Linked DNA regions of Oryctolagus cuniculus. The protein of the gene in region 1 purifies or fractionates together with the protein of each later gene. This does not show direct contact. Links are inferred from orthologs where the notes say so. Each region holds a gene or a part of one and is shown in the gene's direction. Other genes may lie near its edges.

Region 1 (4,096 bases):
GGCCGCCCTGTGGCTGCCGGAGCACTCGGCCGCGCGAGCCGCTCTCCCAGCCAGAGACAGCGCCTCGGCCGGCCGCTGGCCCTTCACCAAGACGGCAGGCACGGCAGCCCCGGGGCCTCACTTGGCGAGGCAGGACTCCACGCCGGGAAGCCCGCATAGACACGGCCTGGCGCGCCAAAGCCGCTTCCAACCTGCCGTAGCCTGGAGCTGAGCGCACTCGCTCAAAATAATGGACATCGCCGCCGCAGCTCCGGTGTTAAACACCGGCAGGGTCAATTTTGAGAAAAAAATAGGAGGTGGGGGAGTGGGAAGAGGAGGAGGAGGAGGAAGAGGAGGGAGAGGGAGAGGAGGAGGAGGAAGAGGGAGAGGAAGAGGGAGAGGAGGAGGGAGAGGAGGAGGGAGAAGAGGAGGAAGAGCTTTTACTCGGGATGAAACTCGCGCTCCGGCGGCCGGCGGAGTCCACACGGCCCCGGGGGGACCCCCAGCACCGGGGGCCAGGCCCGGACGCACCCTCGCCGGAGGGCGACCTCTCGGGGCGCGCAGGGGCTGGAGCAGGCGCACACTTCGGGAGTCCGCCGCCGCGCCGAGGGCCAGCCGGGCAGGGGCCGCGCCGCCCCCGAGGCCCGGCGGAGCCCGGGGAGCCCGGGGAGCCAGGGCTGCGCGCCGCGGCGGCCGCGGGCAGGAAGCGAGAGTTTACCACCGGAACGCCCCGCTCGGGCCCCTGGCGGACGCCGGCCGGCGCCGACCTATTTCCCGGGCGGTCTCGCCAACTGCGCGGCCCGGGGGCCCCGAGCGTCGGGAGGGAGCGCGACCCCACCTCCACAGCCTCCGCCGGCAGGAACGGGAGCGCGGCGTCGCCGCACGCGGAGCCCGCGGCCGGGGCTGCCCGCTGCACCTGCCGCCGCCTCGGGACTCGTGGGCGCGCCCGCCCGCTGGGCCTCAGGGCGGGGGCCCTGCCCGCTCGCACCCGCCGCGCCGGGGCCCGCAGCGGCCGGCTGGGGCGCGGGCCGGACCTGGGCCGAGGGGCAGCGGCCGGGAAGCGCTCGGGGGCCGAGGCGCCGGCCACCTCCGCGGCCCGTGCCCGCGGAGACGCCGCCCCGACACTCACCTGCCCGCTTCCCCTTCCGCGCAGCGCGGCGCCTCACTCGCGCTCGGACCCCACCGTCCGCCTCAACCAACCCGGCGGCGGCGGCGGCGGCGGCCGGACGGGAGGGCGGGACGGCGGCCTGAGACGGCCCCGCAGCCGCGGCCCAACCCGGCTCCGCCCGCCCCCGGACTCCGCCCCCGGGCCGCCGCCGCCGCCGCTCATTGGCCCGCGCCGCGCACGCATGGGCGCGGCTCCGCCCCGCCGCCGGGCCGCCGTTCCGCCCGGGATCCTCCGCAGCCATTGGGCTGGTGGCTCCCGGGGGCCAGAGCGGCCAGATCAGCCGCCGCCAGCCCCGAGACCACCATTGGCTGGACTGGGTCCACGCCATAGCTCTGATTGGACAACTGGCGGCTCGGGCCCCGCCTTCGCACCCAAGTTCCGTTAGCAGGTTCGGTTGCTCCCGAATTCCCTTTCGCCATGGGGGGCGGGGCCGTCGGGCCGGGCACTTTGGCTGGCTCCTCCCCCTGCACGCAGCAGCTGCTTACCGCGGGGTGGGCGGGGAGCAGAGCCCCCGGCTCGCTAGTTTTTTTGGGAGTTCTACTTTCTTCTGATTGGTTGGCAGGCGCCTGTGCGCACCGCTCCTCCGGTCGCTCGTTTTACGTTGCGCGACGCAGCGCGATGACGTAGAGTTCCCAGCATTCCACATCCAAGATGGCCGCGGTCGGCAAGGAGAGACGTAGCTAAGGGGCTTGCCTGAGGCGAGGGGTGAGTGTCCTACCGACTGCGGGCTGTACCGCCCCGCTCCCGCTCACCCGGGGGTCGGAGCAGGGTGTGGCCACCCGCCTCCGTCCGCGCGCGGAGTCTCTCTTCCCTGATTCCGGACCCCGCCTCTCGCCTCCTGTGCACGCTGAAGTTGGCGGGCTTCGGCAGAGGGGCTGAGGCGCAGGGGCCGGACGGGGACTCGGGGTGGGCCCTGGAGCGGGCAGCCGCGCTCCCTGCGCGGTCCGGTTGGGGTTCCAGGAGCTCCCTGCGGTGGCGGAACCGGGCAGGGGTTGCAGCCGCGGACCGCCCACGCTCCCCGCAGCGGACCCTGGACGCAGCGGGGGTGGGCCGGCGGGATGGGAAGAGGCACTTCCGCGATGAGATTCGGGTTGGTTTGTTAGCTCAGGAACTCGGGGCGTGGGTCCGGGGGTTAGCGAGGGCGCTGACAGCTGTGGCCCGTTCAACGGAGCTCTTGCAGACCCCGGGAGGTTAGGGACGACTGACCGGGGCCGTTGCTGTCCGGCCTGTCGCGTTTTTAAGGTGGTACCTCGAGCGAAACCGCCCTTCAGCGAGTGACGCATTAGTCGTGCGTGTTGGTGGATTCTTGCCTAAGTCGTGTTTCACGCGTGTGCTGTTTGGAAAATGCAGTTTGCACCAGCAAGCAATAAAGAAACATTTGAATTGTTTATGCGATTCTTAAGATTTGAATGCTCTTTTTAAGTTCAGTCTCATAAAGCAAAAAAAAAAATCACTCGTAGTTTTGGAGTAAGGAATGAGCTTCGTTTTGGGAGACTGTGGAAAGCGGTGAGTTTGCTGAGTGTCTGAAGGAAGGGAAATGAGGACTGGGCGAGGACAAATACCTGCCGGGTCACTGAGACGGCGGAGCGGATCTGGTTGGGTCGCCTCATTCCCGGGTTTAAGCGCAGATGAAGTTGCGCACGCGGAGGGGCAGAGTCGGTTGTATACGCTTGTCCGTGGCTTTGGAGGAGCCCCAGATGTGCAGTTGTGATGGAAAACTGAGCTCCGGGGCGTGTCCGTTCTCTCGGAGACGGCTCCCGGGCGCTGCTTTGTCACCCGTTGTAGAATCTCCCGCAAGCGCTTGGGAAAGGAGAGCGGAGCCCCTCGGGCCTGCGGGGCCGGGTGACTCAGGCCCTGGTGGTGGCTGCGGGATTGCTGGACATTTGGGCGGCTTGGCTGACGTTGTAGTCGGATGGATGGGCGTCCGCTCAAATTACCAAACCCGAAGCATTTGGATGTGAGTGTCGTCCTGAAGAAGAACGACACTACATTTACAAAAACTTAAATTTACACCGAAATTTGCAAAATCTCAGTTGTGAGTATTTGAGATGAGGAGGAACTGGCTTGACAGGAAATGGTTCCGGGTTGTGGTGCTCCGTTCTGGAGGTAAAGTAGTGGCTGCACTGAGGGAAGGCAGTATCTCAGTCTGAAGTGAAGCAAATTGTGACTGCCGTTCGCCAGCGGTGTGCACCGGGCAGGTTACTTCGTGTCTCCTCGGCTGGTTTTCTCCGGGATCAGCTGTAAGGGTAAGACAGGTAACTTGCCCCATAGCTGCAGCTCTGCGGACACACCGTGGACGTGTTACTCTCAGACCACCTGTTACATAGATCTTACAGAGTTTCTTTTTTTCTCATTTTGATGGCTAATATTTAGAGAAGACCTAGAAACCCTGAGAACCCTTATGGAAAAATGGTTAATTTGTTTACCTTGGAGAAAAGAGGGGTAGGCAAAATTGTCTTCATATATTTCAAAGGCAATCATTAGGTCAGAGAAACTGTTTCCAAGGCTTTAAAAGTCTCTAGGTGGGAGTGATGGAGAGTTCTTACAAGGTAGTTATTTTGTGCCATCTATGTAGCAGATCTAGGGAAGGAACGGAACACACAGAGATCAATATAGGGCTGGTCCTGGTGTGGCAGGTTAAGGTTCCACCTGCAACATCCCATGTGGGCACTAGTTCAAGACCCGGCTGTCCCACTTCCAATCCAGCTCCCTGCTAAGGTGCTTGGGAAAGCAGTAGAAGATGGCCCACCCGGCACCCACACTGGAGACCCAGCAGAAGCTCCAGGCCCAGCCCCAGCTGTTGCAGCCATTTAGGGAGTGAGCCATCCGATAGAGGATTGAGCCCTTTCTCTGTAGAGCTCCCTTTCAAATAAGTAAAACATAAGTACTTTTTTTTCCCACAGTCCAGTAATTTATTTTAAATTGGAATAACTTCAGATTCCACAAACA
Region 2 (4,150 bases), on another chromosome or scaffold:
ACACTGATGAACGCAACTCTGGTCCAGCCTTGACAGAATCCTTGGTCCAGACCCTGGTGAAGAACAGGACCTTCTCAGGCTCTGTGAGCCACCTTGGGGAGTCCAGCAGTTACCAGGGCACAGGGTCAGTGCAGTTCCCAGGTGACCAGGACCTTCGTTTTGCCAGGGTCCCCTTAGCATTACACTCAGTGGTCGGGCAACCATTCCTGAAGGCTGAGGGAAGCAGCAACTCTGTCGTACATGCAGAGACCAAATTACAAAACTATGGGGAGCTGGGGCCAGGAACCACTGTGGCCAGCAGCTCAGGAGCAGGCCTTCCCTGGGTGGCCCCAGCTCAGTCTTCTGCTTATGGAAAACTCTATCGGGGGCCTACAAGAGTTCCTCCAAGAGGGGGAAGAGGGAGAGGAGTTCCTTACTAACCCAGAGACTTCAGTGTCCTGAAATATTCTTTCCCTATTCATCCTTCCATCCAGTCCTCAAAACCTTTAATGAAATCATTTGCCAGAGGGAGGTAGTCATCTGCATTTGGCTAGTGCGAAGCTGTCCAGTGTATTTCTTGCTCACTTGCTAGAAGCAAGTGACCTATAAGGATGTTGGCACCAGTTCCTCCTGGATGGGTGACAGCCAGAATTTCAGCTCTACCTAGTAGATACAGTAGAGAATGTGAAAAAGAGTCATTAAATTAAAAAGCAAATGTTTTATTAGCTATTGACTGCACTTCTTGAGCAGAAGAGAGAACAGTTTCAGTTTTGAGATGGCTCAGGAGAGGATCCATTTGGTTTTTAAAGTTTTGGGACTTTTTTCTCTTTTGGTGGTTTCTTTTAAATTGTAGATTGGGTTGTTTTTGGGTTTCGGGGTTATTTTCTTTTGAAGAGAATAGTGTTCACAAAATTTGAGCTGCTCATAGGCTTTTGTTAAAAGGAAAACAGAGTGGCCTGGCTGATTGAAATAAATGTTTTCTTCCTCTCCACCATTTCACATTTTTGCTTTTAAGTGAACACATTTTTCCCCATTGAGCATCTTGAACACATCTTTTTTCCAAATAAATTACTCATTCTTATAGTTCCCTCCACTTTGAAAAAAAGATGTGCCCCTCTCCCTGCACATAAACCAGGTTGTAGAAGGTGGCATTCTTGGGCAAGTAGGTAGACTTACTCTATCTATTTCTGTTTTTTATTTATATTTATATATTCTCTCCTTCCCTCTTACTCTCCTCCTACCCTCTCCCATCCTCCCTCTCTCCCCTCCCCCTTTTCCTCTCCATCTTTGTTTCTCTTTCTGCCTCTCCTCCATTCCCTCCCATTTTGAGTAATTTGTTTGGAAAAAAATCATTAAGATGCCAAAGAACCTGGAATAATTCTTTTTTTTTTTTAAATAAAGGAAAGGAAATTCAAACTCCTACATTGTTCTTTGTAAAATGTTTTTTAAAAACCATGTTCTGATGGGGAAGTTGATTGTAAATGTGGACAGCCTAGGACTTTGCTGTTGAGCTGTGGTTAGAGATGAAGCCTCCAACGTAGAGGGCTAATAAGAGCAGTTAGTATATTGTTTACACATATATTTTTATGTCCAAAAAAAAAAAAAAAAAAAACCTTTCAAACCAAGCATTGTGATATTGTCAAAGAAAAAAAATACATCCTGAAAATATGTGGAAATGTAACCTAGTTTAGGGTGGGTATTTTTCTGAAGATACCTTTTATAAGAGATAGTTTTAAAACAGCTTATTGAGAGAAAGAACAGTATTGACATATACACATCCCAGCCATGTATATCCTGCCAATTCTTTTAGAGATTTTTCACTGGAGAGATTTGGTTTTGGTTCTGGTGGTAAAGGGGGTTAAAGTATGACTTCCTGGCAAGAACTTGGCCTTATTATAAACAGGAAATGGAAAAGAGAACGACTCTCAGGGTTGAATAATTTGGGAGGCTTCTCGTTCTGTCTTCCATTTCTTCGTGAGTACCAGCATACAGAATGTGACATGTCATACAATCTGTCTGCACAGACTTATTGCATGAAGCTTAGGTTAGCTCTCTTACAAAGAAAAGGCAAAAACATACTTCAGCATCTTGGAGGATAGTTTCCAAAACCTAAGTAAAGGTTTGTGTTGCAATGCCAAGTTCTTATATTAAATAAAATCTGCGTATAAGAGAAAGGTGCATCAATTAACAAAAGAAAACTTTATAAAGAAAAGAAGAACCCACTTCAGATACTTACATGAAGACTTTTCCCGTGAATCGTAATAGGTAGTTACTGGTGTGTGTATTTCTTTATTATTATTTGGTTTTTGGTCTGCCCTTGCCCTCGGGGCCAAACATCGATTAGAAAGAGAACCTAGCCATTTTGGCGTTGGTGACTTTTTATGCAAGTATGTCCAGTTAGATTTGCCAGGCACACTGAAATGCTATTGGTTAATTACAATAAAGTTCATCTGAATCTTCTGTCGACTTCTGAATAGTCTTCAGATGTGGGCCTTTATATTTTAGAATATTTCAATTAGAGGGCTTGGGCCCCAGTCCCCTGTTTTTGATTAAAGAGCCTGAGCCTCAGATACTTTCAAAAGTATCTGTTCAGTGAAAAAAATTGGTTTCCCACCAGATATGAATAAAATTTTATATGTTTTCATTGTATTTTGGTTGTCAACAATCATCAATAATTTTCCCCCTCCCTTTTCTACCCCTAATTTTTAATTATGCCAAATATTCTAAATAATATACTTAAGCCTCCATTCTCCCATCCCTGCTAGGGATGGATGTATGTGTGAGTGTGTGTATGTGTATACATGATTCCATCTCACCCCACCCCCATTTGGGGAGTCTTAACTTTTAAAAGGAAAAAGGAAAAAAAAAAAGCAAGTTTGGTAATTTGACTATTTCTAAAACCAGAGAAAAAGAGAAACTCCTTTAATATCCTGGAATCTCTGTGGAGGAAGAAAAGGTATTTGGTCACTTTTCAGCCATGTTATCTATAAATGTGATGGAAGTAAAGGTTTGGCAGAATTTCATCTTGGCTCTCTGAAAATTACAAACCGAATTAATTCCATTCAAAAGTGGTTTTGGTTTTATTTTAATTGTACCTTGGAAGATATCAAGGCTATTAAATACATTATTTTGAACAGATGAGAAATCTAATTCTGTTCACGAATAAGAGGCAAAACTGGTTTGACCATGATCATTTTTGTGGTTTTGAAACAAATTTGCTTGACCCAGTTGTTTTTATTTTTTTTTCTTCAGCTGTCCATAGAAACAATAAGGATTTGAAAATGACATCAGATCTATATGTTTAAAGCAGGGCAGTTAGCACAAATTTGTAAGTAGGACTTCTGTTAGCTTATGCCATAGACATCACCCAGCCACTTGTATGTGTGTATGTATATAATATGCATATATAGTTACAGTGCTACAATGGTTACCAGCAGGTTTTGAGAGAGAATGCTGCATCAGAAAAGTGTCAGTTGCCACCTCATTTTCCCTGACTTAGGTTCCTGACACTGTATTCCTTTCTCTCTCTTGTTTTTGCCCCCCATCGGGTGTACTTTGTCTATGTACAGATATTTTGTAATATATTAAATTTTTTTCTTTCAGTTTATAAAAATGGAAAGTGGAGATTGGAAAATTAAATATTTCCTGCTACTATACCACTTTTGCTCCATTGCATTTCCTTCTTAATCTGTACTTTCTGAGCATATCTGATCATGTATAAAGGGCATTTTCCTCCACTCTTTCTTAGGGGTTCTCCATCTCAAAATTGCTATAATCTCATAAACTGCAAAAACTAAGTTTTCAGGGTTTGAAGAGGTACTTGAAAAGACTAGGAACTAGTGAATTTTTAAATGAAAGAAACTGTAAAATGCAATTTCTTTTAAAAGTAGAAAACAGTTACACAAATAATGGTGGCACAAAGCCACTGAGAGTTGAGCATCATGTACCCTGACTCCTCCTGACAGGAGAGGTAAGTGGGTTTGAGCTCAGCTGTCTTCAGGGGAAGTCGTTAAAAGACTGTTTAGACCCAAAGGATAGTCTCTTAAACCCGATTCCCCACCCAGTTCCCATGTTCTAGAACAGGGTCAGCCTGGGGATGAGTATACTTAGGTTGATGGAGATTTCCTGATGCATTGCCAACCCTGGAAATAAATCAACGTTGTTTAAAGTT

What was found.
Region 2: the proteins of CCNK (region 1) and CDK12 purify together in Homo sapiens (affinity purification with mass spectrometry; 6 studies listed by BioGRID and IntAct, with this or other methods). This does not show direct contact. The link is inferred for Oryctolagus cuniculus from reciprocal best matches to the Homo sapiens genes CCNK and CDK12.

Annotation. Positions count from the first base shown.
Region 1 is NC_091451.1:43,336,149-43,340,244, forward strand, and holds the start of CCNK (cyclin-K), read left to right. Parts: upstream 1-1,292; 5' UTR 1,293-1,535; intron 1,536-1,632; exon of another isoform or gene 1,633-1,852; intron 1,853-4,096. UniProt on the Homo sapiens protein: Regulatory subunit of cyclin-dependent kinases that mediates activation of target kinases.
Region 2 is NC_091448.1:22,835,502-22,839,651, reverse strand, and holds the end of CDK12 (cyclin-dependent kinase 12), read left to right. Parts: coding exon 1-419; 3' UTR 420-3,635; downstream 3,636-4,150. UniProt on the Homo sapiens protein: Cyclin-dependent kinase that phosphorylates the C-terminal domain (CTD) of the large subunit of RNA polymerase II (POLR2A), thereby acting as a key regulator of transcription elongation.